Linked DNA regions of Alligator mississippiensis. The protein of the gene in region 1 interacts with the protein of each later gene in a pairwise test. Links are inferred from orthologs where the notes say so. Each region holds a gene or a part of one and is shown in the gene's direction. Other genes may lie near its edges.

Region 1 (8,234 bases):
TCCAAAGGTATACTGGTCTCTTAACTACACAGGGGCCATATCTATACATGCACTTACCTGTGGAGTAGACTAATTAGCTGCAGAGTAAAGTGTCATCATCTACACATGCAATGCTATGAGGCCACAGTAAGCTTTACTGAAGATTAGGCCACTTTGCCTTTAGTAAGGCATTTGATAGCATTCTTGCCAGCAAGCTGAGGAAGTATGGGTTGGATGAACAGACTGTAAGGTAGAAAAAAACTTGGCTGGATCGTTGGGCTCAGCGGGTAGTAATCAATGGCTCAATGTCTAGCTGGCAGCCAGTTATCAAACGGAGTGTCCCTGGGGCCACTTTTGTTCAATATCTTCATTAACAATCTGGACAATGCATCCTAAAGAAGTTTGTGATGACACCAAGCTGGGCGGAGTAATAGATATGCTAGCAGATAGGGCTAAGATTCAGAGTGACCTAGATACATTGGAGGATTGGGCCAAAAGAAATCTCACAAGGTTCAACAAGGACAAGCGATAAGTCTTGCACTTAGGACAGAACAATCCCATGCACCGGTGCAGGCTGGGGGCTGACTGGGTGGGCAGCAGCTCTGCAGAAAAGCACCTGGGGGTCACAGTGGACAAGAAGTTGAATATGATCCAGCAGTGTGCCCTTTTTGCCAAGAAGGCTAATGGCATCCTGGGCTGCACTGGTAGAAGCACTGCCAGCAGATCAAGGGAAGTGATTATTTCCCTCTATTCAGCACTGGTGAGGCCACATCTGGAGTCCTGTGTCCAGTTGTGGGCCCCCCACTACAGAAAGGATGTGGACAAATTGGAGAGAGTTCAGCGCCACTTCCAAGCTGTCCTTCTACCCTGAGCAGGGGGCTTCGGTGGCAATGAGCTAGGCATGGAGGCAATGGTATCATCCAGGAAGAAGCTGATGGGTCCCTGGAGCACCTGCTCTGGACCCACCTGCCCCAGCCACAATGAGCAGTGATGGCCGGCAGAAGCTGCTCCTGAGCGCGGCGAAAAAGCAGAACCTGGCAGCGGGTGCAACCGCTGCCCCATCGCTGCTGCTGGGCCCTTCTTGCTGCTGCCACTCGGAGCCCACGCTGGGGCTGTCCTATGCCTCTTTCCAGCCACTGCCCACTGCCAGGTCCCGCTTTTCACCTGCACCCAACAGCAGCTTCTGCCCAGTGCCCACCGCCACCCCCTCTTGTCATGGCCAGGGCGGGCAGGTCTGGAGTGGGCGCTGTACGGACCCTGACTCCCCGCATGGGGTGGGGTGGGCCGGGGCCAGCGCTGGGGCTGTGTGCTCAGCCCGGGGCTTGGGTCCTGCCCGCATAGGTCCAAGCCGGTTTCCGTGGGGCTGGGGCTGGTGGGGGCAGCCAGAAGGAGCTGCTGCTATCAGGGCTGCCGGAAAATGAAGTCCAGCCACAGAGCCAACCCAGCCCCGCTGCACGCCCAGGGGTGGTGGGACTTGTCAATGGGCTGGTTGGTGCCTGGGCCAGGCGAGACTGAGAAACCCACTGCAGACCAGACAAAGTCCCTCTGCAGACCAGATCTGGCCCGGGGGCCATATTTTGCCCACCCCGGTGCAGTGGGACAACCTTGTTCTGAACTGCAGATGGTTTTACCTTTCCTGGTACCAACTACAGGGCCATGCAGTGTGTACTGTAGCCTCCAGTACTATCTCCATGACCTCCAGACAAGGATTTAACATCCCCCCAGCTCTCAAATGCAAGGCAGGCAGTGTAGGATGGGGAGGCCAGTAGACCTGGTGAAAAGGGATCAAAACCAAATAACTTTGGGGAAGTTTCCTTCTCTGTTTCTCAGTTTCACCCTCCCCACCCCTTCTACAATCTGTAATCCTGTCTCACTTTTGCTTAATGAGTTCTTCTTGACTAGTGTTACCTTTGGCTATCTAGTAATAGTGATTAATCACACTGGCTACTGATTCTGTGTAATTGCTGAGTTTAATAATATCACATTCATTCTTAGCAACATCCCAGATTAGCATTTCCTGAGTAATGCTAAGTTCTTAGAAGTACAGGAAGTCTCTAGGAACCTGCCTTGTCCGTGTCTGTCTATGTACTCATGTGGTCCCCCCATCACTGTAACATCCAATACCTTGCATACTTTGCTATATCTAGCCTCCCTATAGTCAGTGAAGTATGGTGCTGCTATTACTCCCATTTTATAGACTCCAACATCAGGGCTAAGGGAGACTACATGACTGGCCCAAGGTCACATAGGAAGTCTGTAGCAGAGAAGGAAATTGAACCAGGTTTCCCAGCATTCATGGCAGGCCTCTACCCCAAAGTCTGTTCTTCCTCTACCTCCTGTTGTATGATCCGAGCATCTCATAAGTGTTAATTAATGCATCCTCATGAGCCTTCAGGTAGGTCAGTATTACTGTCCCTGTCCATCAACGAACAACCAGGAAAACAGCTGAAGAGTTAAGCATTCAGCTTACATCTTTGGACTCCACTCCAGTGATTCCACCTTAAGGCATTACCAACCATCTCACCTTGAAACCAGCCCAGGCTGTATTTCTTCTCAGATCTTCCTTCTGTCTCCTTGCAATTTTAGAAACCTGATCATGAAAAATGATTCATATGAAATCAATGTTTCCCACAAATCAAGTCATTCCAAACGCATCTGTCGACATGACAAATCATACCAGTTTCATCACCACATGGCCCAGTACGTTGTCAGTGAGCCGCAGAAGAGGAAACGCGGGTCTGTAGCCAAACTGGCCCACAATTTTTTGCTGAATTTTCTTTTTCTTTTGTGTTTCAGGGAAGGAGAGCCTTTTTTTAAAGTACCTCTGGCTGAGCCATCAGCTTGAAGTGCGAGGAGACTCCTGGGAAAGGTTATCCATGTGATATTTCCATACTATTCCTCCAGACCCAAGAGATTCAAACAGTTTAGAGGAATCTCTGATAGCCGCAGCATGGGTCCAGTCACCTGTGACTGCCTACAGCAGGAAGGTTTAAAACTCCAGAGACGATGGGATCACCTGTCCTTGAAGACATATTCAAAGAGGCAGAGGGTCTGCCTGTGCCTCTCATGACTAAAGCATGCTGATTTGCGTAGCCCGCAGCATACAATGGAGCAAAGTGTCTAGCACCAACTCTGACCACCTTGCACTCTCCAGCCCAAATGACCTGGCTCCCATTTTCAGCTCAGATGGCACAAGCAACCTTTGGCACAAGCACAGTTTTGACTCATGCCTTTGGAGCTACAGCAAGACATTTTTGTGGCACCACTTGCTGGGGATCAAAAAGTCAAATGGAGGCAGCCCAGGAAAAATAATCGCACAAGTGCAGGGGGGCTGGACCGGATGATCTGTCAGGTCCCTTGCAGGCCCTAACATCTATGAAATTATGAAACAGCAGACCCTCTAGCACTGACCACTGGGAGAAGCAGGAACATTGCTTGGTTCCTGCTTCTCCTTGGTACATTTGATCCACTACGCCAAGGGGCAATCTGGGACAGAGCTTCCTTGTCTAGATATACTATGGTGACCTGCTGGATCAAGCCCCAGTGAGTTCATAGGGATCTCTCTCTCTGCAGCACTCTTCAGGCCGGCACAGTGATGGGTCTGGAGCAATTCACTCTAATTCCAGCTCTCTTCCGGTGCTATAGGCAAAAGGATCCATGCTCATGCAATTCAGTCCTAATCTACAGCTCTATCGTATCCTAATGCTGGTCTCCCACATCCCACCCACAGTGCATGCCCCTGGGTGCATCTACACTTACTGTGGAGCTGCCTAATTAGCTCTGCAGTAAAACATCACTGTCTACACAAGCAGTGCTATTAGGCCAGAGGAAACTAATTCACTCTGCCATAGGATAGTACTGCCCAACACAAGTGCTATTCTATGGCAGACTTATTGACTTCACCGCGGCGCACGTGTAAACAGTGACCAGGACCGGCTGGGGCACGAGGATACTACAAGTGCAGGGCTGCCTATTGGCTAGCCCCACACTTGAGCAACCTCGTGCCCCAGCCACGTCCTTTGCAGCACGTTGAGGTGGGGTGGAGCCGCTGACCCCCAGGCTCCCTGCCAGCCAGCGCTGTGCCACCCCGGCTCAACATGCAGCAGTCCCGGGCACACGTATAAACACGTGAACGCTGCACTGACGTTTATTGTGTCAAATAATTGCATGTGTAGATGTGCCCCTGCCTCTTATTCCAATCCTGGGCTCGATTCCACAGAGCACTACCAATGCACCTTGCATTTCTGACTTGCAGGCTTCCTGGCCTCTGCACTCCTGGGCTCATGCGCTCACAGTCCTGTTAAGACCCTGGATTCAGTGCCCCCACCCCATTTTATCCAACAGCAAGCCCTGCCTGCTGCAGGCTTTGCAACCATCTAAATCTCTCTCTCTCTCTCCTGAGAAGAGACCAGAAGCCATGCCTAACTATTCATACAGCTATTAGTCTATTTGATACACGAATGCCTGCTATGATCCATTCTACTTGTATTCGAATACAGGATTCAAGGGGAAAAAAAAACCCTCTAGAAGTACAGAGGTGAAGAATTCAACCCCTGCCTCCAAAATTTAAAACAGCTATAGCTATTTCATGTCATGGTCAGAGCTGGGCCTGAAGGTTTTACCCAAGACATCAGGACCCCAAAGTCCGCTCCAGCTGGATGCCAGACAAGACAGATGGACAGACAAAGTCCTGCAGTTTCAGGTTGAGCAAATACAGATTTCTGACTCAGATCAATCCCCAGAGCCTCACTGACTTACTATCCTCTCCCTGTTGCAATGATGGTGGGATGGAGGGAGAGGAGAAAAAAAAATGACCGAAGATTAGGGACCTTTTAAAATGGCATTGAGGAAAGGGGAAGTTGCAGCTCAGACCAGCGCTTTATCGGACATCTCCAAGTTAATGTATGGGCTCCCGAGGCTGGCACATGCCACATTCCCCACTTAATAGAGGGGGCAGGGTCTGAAGCCTCGTCAACTGGAACAAGGACGATAAAGCATCAGGTTTCCTAAGCCCTGGGCCCCACCTCTGTCAGCAGGAGATCCCTGGATTTTCAGCATATATATACATCTATCTGGCACCCTAGCATCCTTGCAGGGAGCAGCCACAGGAGCAGGGATCGCTGCCAAGAGAAGCAGCTGGTAGAGTAGGTCTTCTGAGCCCCAGCACTGGTCGCCTCATGATGTGGGAACTCCGCTCCGTAGCCTTCACCCGCGCCGTCTTTGCCGAGTTCATAGCCACCCTACTCTTTATATTCTTCGGCCTGGGCTCTGCCCTCAGCTGGCCCTTGTCTCTCCCAACCATCCTGCAAATCTCGCTGGCTTTCGGCTTGGCTATCGCCACGCTGGTCCAGACCCTGGGGCACGTCAGCGGGGCCCACATCAACCCAGCCGTGACGGTTGCTTGCCTCGTCGGCTCGCACATCTCCTTCCTCAGGGCTGTCTTCTACGTGGTGGCCCAGATCCTGGGAGGGGTTGCTGGGGCAGCTATCTTGCACGAGATCACCCCTCCAGCCATCCGAGGAAACCTGGCCATCAACAAGGTAAGGACCGTGCCAGTGCCAGCGTGGGACCTTTCAGGGGTACAGGAAGGGGGGGTCGGGGTTGGGGGCTTAGGGAAGATGGGAGAGGCAAAGGGAGGACATAGATAGCTGCAAGCAGAATACAGGAGTCCTGGCGGTGGGGATTAGAGCCCATGTGTCCTGCCACCCTGCCCTGTGCTCAAGCTGCAAGACCCCACTCCCGTCTAGCAAGGGGAACAAAACCCAGGAGTCCCGGCTTGAAGTTCTCCTTGCTCAGCCGTACTCCCTCCTAGTGCTAGGATTAGAAATCAGTCCTGCCACCCAGTGCTGTGCTCCATTCATACACCATGGGCCAAATCCTCCTCCAGCAATTAGGCACCTGAATGCAGTCCTATATTGTACCTGGCTCATCCCCTGACAAGAACATCAAAGTGCCTAGTTTTGTAACGCACCATCACGTTACATCACACGAAGCAACGAGGAATAGGAGGATCCACCCATGTTTCGCAAGGCCTGTTTTTCAGGGACTCAAGCAGGGTGGAATAAGATCACACCGAGGCAGCTAATAGCTGGCACATGATCTGGCTCCGTTTGCTTTCAGAGAAAACATGGGAACAGCCCCCCATAAGCCCTGTCCCCCTGTCCCCCCTTACTCTGATCACTAGGACAGTGCCACCAACCACGGCCCAGGGAACTGACACCTATAAAATGCCACTTTCTGATTGTCAGTGACACACGTGGCCATTCCTAGAACGGCTGGCTTAATGTAACCCTGGGAACATCCTGACTTCTGTGGACTCCCCTCCTCCAGCCTCAGCCATCTGTGTGTGTGCAGCTTTGGTGTGGAAACATGCCTCTCCACCATGTGATGTTCTGCCAGTGTTTTCAGGCTGCTGGTGCCATGCCAGGCTCCTTGGCACCAGGGCTAGCAGGGCAGGTTTTTTGGGTTTTGTTTTTAATGTAATCGGTGCTTCTCATCAGATAATCCCCACTTACTTTGTCCTGTTCTAGTTTCTCACAGTACCCAATGGCCATGTCTGCCCTGGCAATGCCATCAGTTAGCTTCCCTCCCATTACTAAGACTGGACTCTGGGATCAGACATGGTGCAACAACAAAACCACAGGAGTGAATAGGGAGGCAATCCTGAAAGCTTTGACTTAGAGGCATGAAAATCAGGGAACCCAAGGAGTTGGGATGAGGATGTCCCGCTGAACTACCATTAACATGGCAGCCTCCCTCCCCCCCTCCCTCGAGTCTCTTGACTCCAGGTTGTTCAACACTTGGATTTAGAATTAGTTTTGCCTAATTTGGCCTCAGATACAAATTCAATTTTTTTTAAAAATCTCTTTTGCCATCTCCCTTGTGGAACCGTTTACACAGGTAGAAAGATGTCCAAGGCCAGATGCCATGAAGCCAGATCCTCCTTTTATACTCAGCACCCCCTATAACCCTCCCTCTGACAGCAAAGGGACTTTAAAGTGAGAGGCAACTACCTTTGTAACCACTTTATGTCCCCTTTAGGTTGCTAGAGTGGTGTAAAGGGGCCGCAGTAGAAGACGCTTGGCCCGCTGGGTTTAGTTTGCATTAGCTGGCTCCACCGTCTGAGTCAGTGAAACCTTTATACTCTTTCACAGAATGGCAAGGATTGCACAAGGTTCAGGGCAAGTAGAAGCAGACCTTGTATCTTTGCAGAGATCTAGCTATTTGAATTGAATCCAGGTCACTAATGCTTGAAAGCTTTTAGCATCCCTAAATTGTTTAATTCACAGAAATAGAGCTAACATCCCCTTTTAATTGCTTGTGAGTGCTACATTGGTGCTCACTGGGCTGTATCCTTAGAAGTCAGCCAGATCAGGATGCTTACGGCTAAGGCTTGTACAGCAGACACACCGGTGAGCTCTGGGAAGCCAGCTCTTCCCAATCCTTGCTGAATCTTTACACCAATAAACTTGCATTCTCAGTAAGGGAGTTACCAATATAATTATTTGGGGGGCATTATACCTCCTGACTAACAGTTGGTAAAAAGTCTATTATAGACCCAGACTCATTTCCATTGGTATTAATCCAGAATTACTGCACTAAGCAGTACTTCCCTTCCAAGCCCTAACAACTATGAAATTATGAAAGCCTTGGGATCTCCACAAGCATGGCTGAGATCAGCTTTCTTGGCAGATAAAGAGGTGAAGTGGTTGCAAGAACATCTGCATAAACCCTCGGTGTTCAAAAAGGTACATCTCAGGCTCCAGCAGGGAAAGCAGCACCTAGATAACATCTCGAGCATGACTCAAAGCACCACTGGCACCACAAATTACTGACTTAACCAGCCATATCCAGTGGTGCTGCTGGTTCTATGGGATTAAAAGAGAAAAAAATCAAGCTCTGCAACAGGGTTGTTATCTCAAAGCAAGGTCAGATTCAGTTTAATCTGGGAAGCAATTGCTGGAAATCTTTACTGGAAAGCCTCCACTCGAGGTGCAATGCATGTGTCCCAGTTTATGAAAGAGAGAATTGGTGATTTTTTCACATGACGACAAAATAAAAGTGGGATTTCCAAAGACCTGATTTCTTTTTTTCTCAAACACAAAGGATGCAGATAAATGCACTGTCGATGCTGATGTAAGCAGACTTACACTGGTGTAAACGAGTAGGAGAAGGATGACACAAGCACTTAAACTGGGTTAACTTTGTCCAATCTGCTGGAGAATAACCTCTGGAAGAATCAGGGGTACGACACA
Region 2 (7,800 bases), on another chromosome or scaffold:
TACAAAATTTCTGCCTCAATTTAACATGAACACAGCCCAATGAAGAGATTACAGGCTGCTGGTTCTGATCCAAAACAGAGGAGGTCTCTTCCTAAAGATAAGAACAGTTGTGCTCCACAACACAAACAAGGTGCATGGCTCCAATGCTAGAGTGCACAAAAAAAGTTCTACCAACAATACCAAAGTATCCCTTTCAGTAGTGCTTCTTTTTGCTGTCAGAGAGGAGGAAACCTTTTGCCTGAAGAATGCCCCACTGCTCCCAGCAGCAGGCATTGAGTAAGCATAGGGTGGTGATCAGACCCACCTCCAATCAGACGGAGGTAGCTCTCATTGGTCAGAATAGCTTCTGCATGAAACACTAAGATGGGGATCCGCCTGCAGCCACCAGTCCACATGATGCATGGGTGTTCCCTGTAATAGCAAGAGATGATTAACACAAAAAAGAAGTCAAGCTTCATGCGCACACAGTGGGTTACACACTCCAGAAATATCCCAGCTACCTCCTCACATCAAGCTATTCAATTCTAGGCTTGCATATTAGACTTCAGGTTGGATGTACCTGTGGGCTATTTTAAAAGTACTCAGCTATGTATGGTACCTTCAAAATCATCTTCCCTTTGTACTAAGCAGACCATTCAACTGGGGATTCCATCTGATCTGTATTGATTTAAATGGTCAAGCAAACAGCATGACTCTTGAGAGGACCCCTGAAGTTTCAATGCTACAGGTGTTAACAACTTTCACATCCTGAGATCATTCAAGATTAAGGACAGGAGAATATATAGTCCTAGTCCCAGGAAACACACTCTCACCCTAAGCAACCCCCAGAAAACACAGTGCCACTCCCCAGTTTAAGGATTATATATCAGTGCACTGGAATATGGTTTAACCCTTGGACTCTGAAGTAAGTGTGGCAGCCTTCAAGCAGGCAGTGCAGGTTCAGAATCTAACCACAAAAAACCACAAAAAACAAAAATAAAAACCACACATCAACCTATACAATAGGTATATTCCAAAACAACATGCAGCCCAGAACCTGTGGCAGCTGCAGGTCCCAGAATGCAATGATGCATCTAGATCAAAGCACTGCACACTTTGAACATGAGTCTGTTAAAAAGAATGGCTCCAATCTATTCAACTTAATCCAGCTCTACACAGTTTGTGTGCACACTATACACTCTTCATTTCAGCTGCATGTCAGAGTCCCGCTTCTGCTCTCGGGGCATTTAAGGAATGTTTAGGATTTTCTTTTAGTTTCTGCACAAAAAAAATACTCTTGACTTTCAGCTTAGCAAGGGGGAAAAAAAGCAAAAGATGAATACACTCAGGTCTCTCTTTATGCAAGGGTTGCAGTCCAAAAAAACCTTGCATAAAGCAAATCCAATATTACATGCAGTTAAAAGGCATATGTAACAGCCTCCTTTTTCGCTTCATGGCTAACTCAGGAGGGGGGTTAGGAGATACACTAGAAGGTCACTTAGATGACATTTCACCAAATTCAATAATAACAGCAAATAGATGCACCACAATATGAGTGCAAGTAGCATAGTACTGCATGGAACAATGGACGATGCGAGACAGGCAAGTGCATGATGGCGTTGCATACCTGCCTCACGTACCCTCCCACAATGCTTCACTCACATCACTGCATAGCCACGTTGCATGCTCCTTCACATACAATTGAATTTCTCTCACACAAAGCAAGTTTCTTTTATAGATAAAGTCATAGCATATAAGTGTATTCGCACAAAATGCACGTGCATAGAGAAACTCAAGGGTACCCTAATTGGAAGCTTTCTAAACCTCATAAAACTCTCCCACCTCCCATCATTGGGCTAAGCTCCATGGGATTGTGGAGCTGCTTGGAGCGCAACCAGGATGTGGGGAGAGCCAGGGCTGTACTTCAGCTCCCACCACCGGGCTGAGCTCCATGGGGCTGCAGAGCCACTCGAAGCGCAGCCCGGCTGCAGGAGGTGGGGAGAGCCAGGGCTGCACTCCACCTCCCGCTGCCAGGCTGAGTTCCGTGGGGCTCCACGGCCCCATTGGAGCTCAACCCCATGGCGGAAGGTGGGCAGAGCCAGGGCTGCGCTCCGCATCCCATCACCCAGCTGAGCTCCATGGGGCTGCGGAGCCACTTGGAGCGCAACCTGGTGGCAAGAGGCAGGGATAGCCAGGGCTGTGCTCTGACCAGCTCCGCCAGCCCTACAGAACTCAGCCCAGCGGCGAAAGGCAGGGAGGGAAAGCCAGGACTGCACTCTCCATCGGGCTGAGCTCTATGGTGCTGCAGAGCCACTCAGAGCACATCCCTGGCTCTCCCCTGCCTCCCACCACCAGGCTGCTTCAAAACTCAAAATGTTTTGAAAGTTTCAAAATGTTTCAAGTCCCCTCATTTCATTTCAAAGCTTTTTGTTTCATTTTGATTTTGCTGTTTCGAGCTCAAAACGCATCAAAACGAAACACTTGGTGAAATTTCACACATCCCTATTAGAATCCACTGCTTAAAACTTTGAGACCACAGACAACAAACCTGTTGCTTTAAGCAAGCAAAGCTCAGAGTTTTTATTACTTACTGCTCAGAGAAATGGAAGCATGAGGAGAATGACAAAAGCAAAAACCAAAGCAGGGGGGAACTTCTCTAAATCTACATGGGTCAATCAAAAGAAAGAGACAGATGTACACAGAGGATGAGCAAGCAGAGTTCTTTCCTGAAGCTTCTCCAGAATTTTGCTAAAGAAATGTTCCCTGGTTTTTTCTCTTACTAACAGCTCCAGCATACAAGGCTAGAACCAAGAGTTTAAGCTGACAAGGTTGCAGCAGATGCTGGCTGGAGTTCTCTAGGCTGCTGTACCAGGCTGTAATTCATTAGGTTGGGGGAAGAGTATATTTCAAGTTCGTATTAGTGCTCTAGCACAAGCACTACCATTTGCTCAGGAGCCTCACCTAATAGGTACTGGAAACATTTACCTTCAGTTCCTTTAAGTCCTTCAAGTTCAGCAAAATGGGATGGGAATGAGGCTTCTCAACTCAAATTGCCACTTCAAATCCAGACCAAATAGATAGCAAACCTCCTCGTTCCATTCAACCAACATGAAAGAATTTAGCAGCTTCAATGCAGTTCTCTGCCCTCCCCAACCCCGGCCAACAGCCCAGAACTGAGGCTGTGTAGCCAGTTTCATACATACCTGAACTTGTACCAATAGCATGCCTAAGAGAGAAAGCCTAAATGTGCTCCCAGAACCTCTGAAAACCACACTAAACTGGCTACAGTGTCTAATTCCTGGGGCTTGGCCCACACTGACCAGGAATGACTTTGCAGCAGTTCTCCCACACTTGGTGCAGAAGTGGCACAGACACCTCTGGAAGTTGCTCAGTGCTCTCGCCCAGATGTTTTGACCCTACAGCCTGCACCTCCTTCCATCCCCGCTTCTTAATCTTTTGTCACCTTTGATCAGGTGAAGGGGAGTCATGGGTTTCGTGGCAGACTATGGCCAAAGATGGGTTGATGCTGCAATAAATACCTGCAATAAACACTTAAAAATGTATTCTAGTAATATGCTTTTCTACACCTAGTACAACAACTTACAGAGAGGCACCTGTGAAGACTCCACCTTTGCATGTCTGGGCAGGAGTAGACAAGAAAGTACTTGTATAGGGCACATTCCTGGGACCAGGGCTAATAAGGAAAATCTTCCCCTTGGGGCACGCTATGGGAGAGCATTTTTTCCCACATGTAACTACTGAAGATGCAAGGAAATAGCTCCTGTTGCTAAAGAAAAGCTATCCTTCCCTTTGCCCCTGCACCAAATCCACTCCACAGCAGTCCCTACTGCCCCCACAATCCTCCCAGCACACTCCTAAAGTCCTGGCCTCAGGTATAGTTCAACTAGTCACCTAAGGCCACGCGGCTGGTGCAGCCACACCAAACCCCAAGTGATTCCAGTGCCTAAAACACAGACTAGGACCTTATGTAAGTGGGAAATGAGCCGAGGCAGCAGGAAGGGGCTTTGGGTTAAGCCTGCCCTGAGGGATTTGCAGCAAGGCCAGCAGGACTCATACAATCCTTCTGGCAACTGTCACTCATGTCCAGAATGACCTTTGGTTGCAAGGTGCAATGTGCCCAGACACAGCCAGGCTAAAGGGGGCAGCCCTGGGCCCTTCTAGTCCTAGACTGGCACATATGAGAACAAGCAACTCCAAGGGAGTCTTTGCTGGGTCTGCTTGTGGGGGCTGTGTCTCCTTGAGACTCTGGAGGTCACAGACATGAGGAGCTAGAGCGTGGCCTGAGCAGAGGAAACAAACCCACTGTCAGTGCAGAAACAGGAGCAGCACCTCGGAAAGGAGACCGCTGAGGCAAAGGGGCTGAGGAGGTACTGGAGCTGAGCAGAAGCATCGCTGCTCCCCGCCCCCATCCCGGTCATCCAGACATGGGCGGAGGACGGGAGAGCGCAGCCGGGGGGGCAGGTAAGGACCCGAGCAAGTGCCACTGAGCAGGACTGGCAGCGGGGGGACACGGGGAGCGTGCAGCGAGCCTGAACCCGGGCAGAAGCGCGAGAGGGAGGGAACACAGGGCGGGCCGGGCTCCGAGACCCTCCCGCTCCGGGAGAGAGGGACCCCGCCCAGGATCTGCTGCGGGAGCCCGGAGCTACTTACTCCGGCGCCGCCGCCGCCGCCGCCGCCTCCTCCTCCTTGGAGGAGGACGAGGACGAGCCGGTCTCTTCCAGGTCGCGCGCCATCCCCGCGGGCATCTCCTGCGGCCGCGCTCATGCGGCCCCCGTCGGCGCGCTGCCCCCGGCGGCCACCTGCGGGCACGGAGCTAGGTAAGCGGGGCGGAGCCGGGGGGGGCGCGCGCGCGAGTGGGCCGCCCCCGCCCCGCGGGCCCACACCTGCTGCCTCATGTCCCCGCGCGCGGCGGGGCGGTCTCGGAGGACGCGACTCCGGCCAGCGCTTCCCCAGTTACTACAACAACCAACAGGCAACCGCTCCCCCCCTTTCCCTCCACCAGCTACTGCGCAGACGCGAGCGCGACGCCCTCATTGGCTCCTGCCGCGCAGGCGGAAACAGTGCTGTTCCACGCCCTCTGCTGAGCGCGCGCGCGAAACTGGCGCTTCCGCCTCTTCCAAGATGGCGGCGAGACACGGCCGGAGCACAGGGAGGGGAGGGGAGGGGAGGACACCGCCCCTGACGTCACCGAGCGTGAGGGGTGGGGCCCCTTGCGTTGCTGCATTTGATTGGGACAGGGCGCTGGCGTGTGAGTTGAGGCGAGCCCGCGAAGCCAATCAGAAAAGGGGCAGGAGCCAATCAAGAAGCAGGGGCCCGGGGGGCGAGGAGCAAAGAGTGGCAGGTGCGGTGGGGCCCGGAGCAGGTGCGAGGGCAGCGGGCGGGCTGGGCCGTGCCGTGCCGTGCCGCGCCGCGCCGCCAGGGCCTGGCCTCACGGGCTCAGCGCGGCATTAGCCGGCGCTGCCCTGGCCTGGAGCTGCTGGGCGGCCCCGCGTGGTCTCCCTGCCCGCCGCAGCCCTGGGCAGCTCCGGCGTGCGGGGCGAAGAGGAGAACAGGCTCCAAGTGGCGCTGAGCTTCGACCTCTGCCGTGTCCCCGAGCAGGCGGCCGCGGGCACAGGGATGAGCCGCTTTCTGAACGTGCTGCGCAGCTGGCTGGTGATGGTGTCCATCGTGGCGCTGGGGAACACGCTGCAGAGCTTCCGTGACCACGGCTTTCTGTCCGAGAAGCTGTACACGGACGCGCCCAGCCTGGGTGAGCAGCCCCGGGTGCCCCTTCTCCTCCGGGGCTGGGCCTGCCTCTCCCACGGGCTCCCAGGCACTCCAGCCCCACGCTCGTCCTTCTAGGAGCCGCTGGCTCGTGTCCTCCTGTGCCTCTGCAGAGAGCGCCAGCCCCACCCCATTCCTTCTCTCACAGACCCCTCTGTGGCCTGCTGACCACTGCCTGCACCTGGGTGGGGGGGCAGTAGGTACAACTCGCCCGGCCTGCAAAGGTGGCCGCTGCTGTCGCCAAGCAGTGTTGCTGGGCAGCAGCGCACTGTTACCTTGGTGATCCTCTTGGCATTCAAGCCACCTCTGCCCGTTTCCCTCCTTGATGTCTCTAGCTGGCAGAGGAGGGGGGCTTGGATTCATAGCAGCTCCGGAAACACCCACTCAACAGCCTTTTCATCATCTCTGAGCTCGTTGCTTCCTCCTGCATGCTTTGAATGTGAGGACACTAGCTAGGAGATCTTGTGCGTTGCTTGGCCCAACCTGGGGAGAGGCTGATTCCTGGGAAGGAAAATACTTGTTCTTTATCCATTCCCTTTTCTTCTTTGCACAGTGAATGGGCTTCAGGCTCGGACCTTTGGCATCTGGACCCTGCTTGCATCAGTGATTCGTTGTGCCTGTGCCGTAGACATCCGCAACAAGACGTATGCAAGGGAAACATCAGAGGAGGGGGTGTCCCTTGTTGCCTACATTGCACTCTTACCATTCCATAACAGCTCCTAACTGTCCTCTTGTGGAGCAGCTTGAGTAAAGGCAGGGAGTTGAGCACTTTACTGGACAGCTCTTGGGGTTAAAGCAGGGGTGGGCAAAATGCGGCCTGGGGCTGGATGCAGCCCACCAGGCCATTCTGTCCGGCCCACGGGGCCCCTAAAAAATTTAGAAAATTTAATATTTATCTGCCCCTGGCTGCCTATCATGCGGGCCTCAATGGCTTGCCAAAACTCAGTAAGAGGCCCTCTGCCCAAAATAATTGGCTGCCCCTGGGTTAAAGGCATTCCTTAAAGCATCAAAGAGGAAGTCAGGATGTATAGGCAGGGTGTTTAATTGCCTCTCCTTTTAAAAAGTGAGGGGAGAGACTGTTCACTTGAACACGTCTCAGATCAGGCAGGTAATTATTGGATCTGATGCAGCCTGTTAAGCCATACAAGATTTCTGATGCTCTCCTTGCAGGGTGCTTAGCCCCATCACCACCAGACTGAGACATGTTGTTTCTTTTCCAGTGGCAGCTCTATTCAGGATCACATGGCTTGTAGAATGATGCACCTGGCTGGGTCTCAAGAGGGCATGTCCTTGGTTGTATGTTTGGGTAAATCATTGGATTGCTCAGAGGTGGGGGCAGCAGTATCTTGTCTCTGGCTTGAGGAAGCAGCCTACCAGTTGTATATTTGTTAAACAGCCAGGCTCAGCCCCTGTCACATGTGGTGACAGCTCTGCTTCAGGGAGTTTTTGACTGTGGCTTCCATTTGAATTCATGGGGCATGCTGGAAGGGTAGCTTTCTGGGATAGAGGATGAGAGCTGGTGGTTTGCTTTCTGGTGTGTCTGTGCAAGATGTGTCAGGCCAGCTGGTTATGTCTGTGGTTTCAGGAGCAGGGGCAAGGTCAGGGGCAAGTGACAGTTACTGTAGAGTGGGAAGGTCAAACTAGGCAGCTGTTTTCTAGGATTTTTATTTTTTCCTTCCTGAGTCCCTAGGAAATCTTAGTTGTGGCCCCTAGAGGGCAGCAGATCCCATGTAGAAACCTCAGATGAGATACAGGAATTGGCCAGCCCCTCCAATTTCAAGTTAACTCATAGTCTTCCAGCATCCCAAGACATTTTGCACCCACCCACCCAGAGTAGGTGGGCTGTCTGCTCCAGCCAAGCAGGGTATGCTCTAGCACCCCCTGGCTTCTGGCCCGGGCCGCTGCAGGCAAGTAGCTGAATTTCCAGAATTGAAAGTAAATGTCTGTTCACTTGCATATCAGTTCAATCTAATCTGTGAAGCTTGAATCAATTCAGCCACAGGCTTTTTGACTGTCTGTACTTGGCCCCAGAGGCTG

Evidence for each region.
Region 2: the proteins of AQP2 (region 1) and ERG28 interact in binary tests that used the Homo sapiens proteins (3 or more experiments, as listed by UniProt). The link is inferred for Alligator mississippiensis from reciprocal best matches to the Homo sapiens genes AQP2 and ERG28.

The regions. Positions count from the first base shown.
Region 1 is NC_081838.1:9,968,812-9,977,045, forward strand, and holds the start of AQP2 (aquaporin-2), read left to right. Parts: upstream 1-5,011; 5' UTR 5,012-5,156; coding exon 5,157-5,519; intron 5,520-8,234. UniProt on the Homo sapiens protein: Forms a water-specific channel that provides the plasma membranes of renal collecting duct with high permeability to water, thereby permitting water to move in the direction of an osmotic gradient. Plays an essential role in renal water homeostasis.
Region 2 is NC_081825.1:261,563,009-261,570,808, reverse strand, and holds the start of ERG28 (ergosterol biosynthetic protein 28 homolog), read left to right. Parts: upstream 1-4,745; 5' UTR 4,746-4,817; intron 4,818-5,368; exon of another isoform or gene 5,369-5,598; 5' UTR 5,599-5,616; coding exon 5,617-5,749; intron 5,750-6,316; coding exon 6,317-6,407; intron 6,408-6,983; coding exon of another isoform or gene 6,984-7,069; intron 7,070-7,800. Other genes in the region: tubulin polyglutamylase TTLL5, read right to left, coding at 305-411, 4,651-4,745.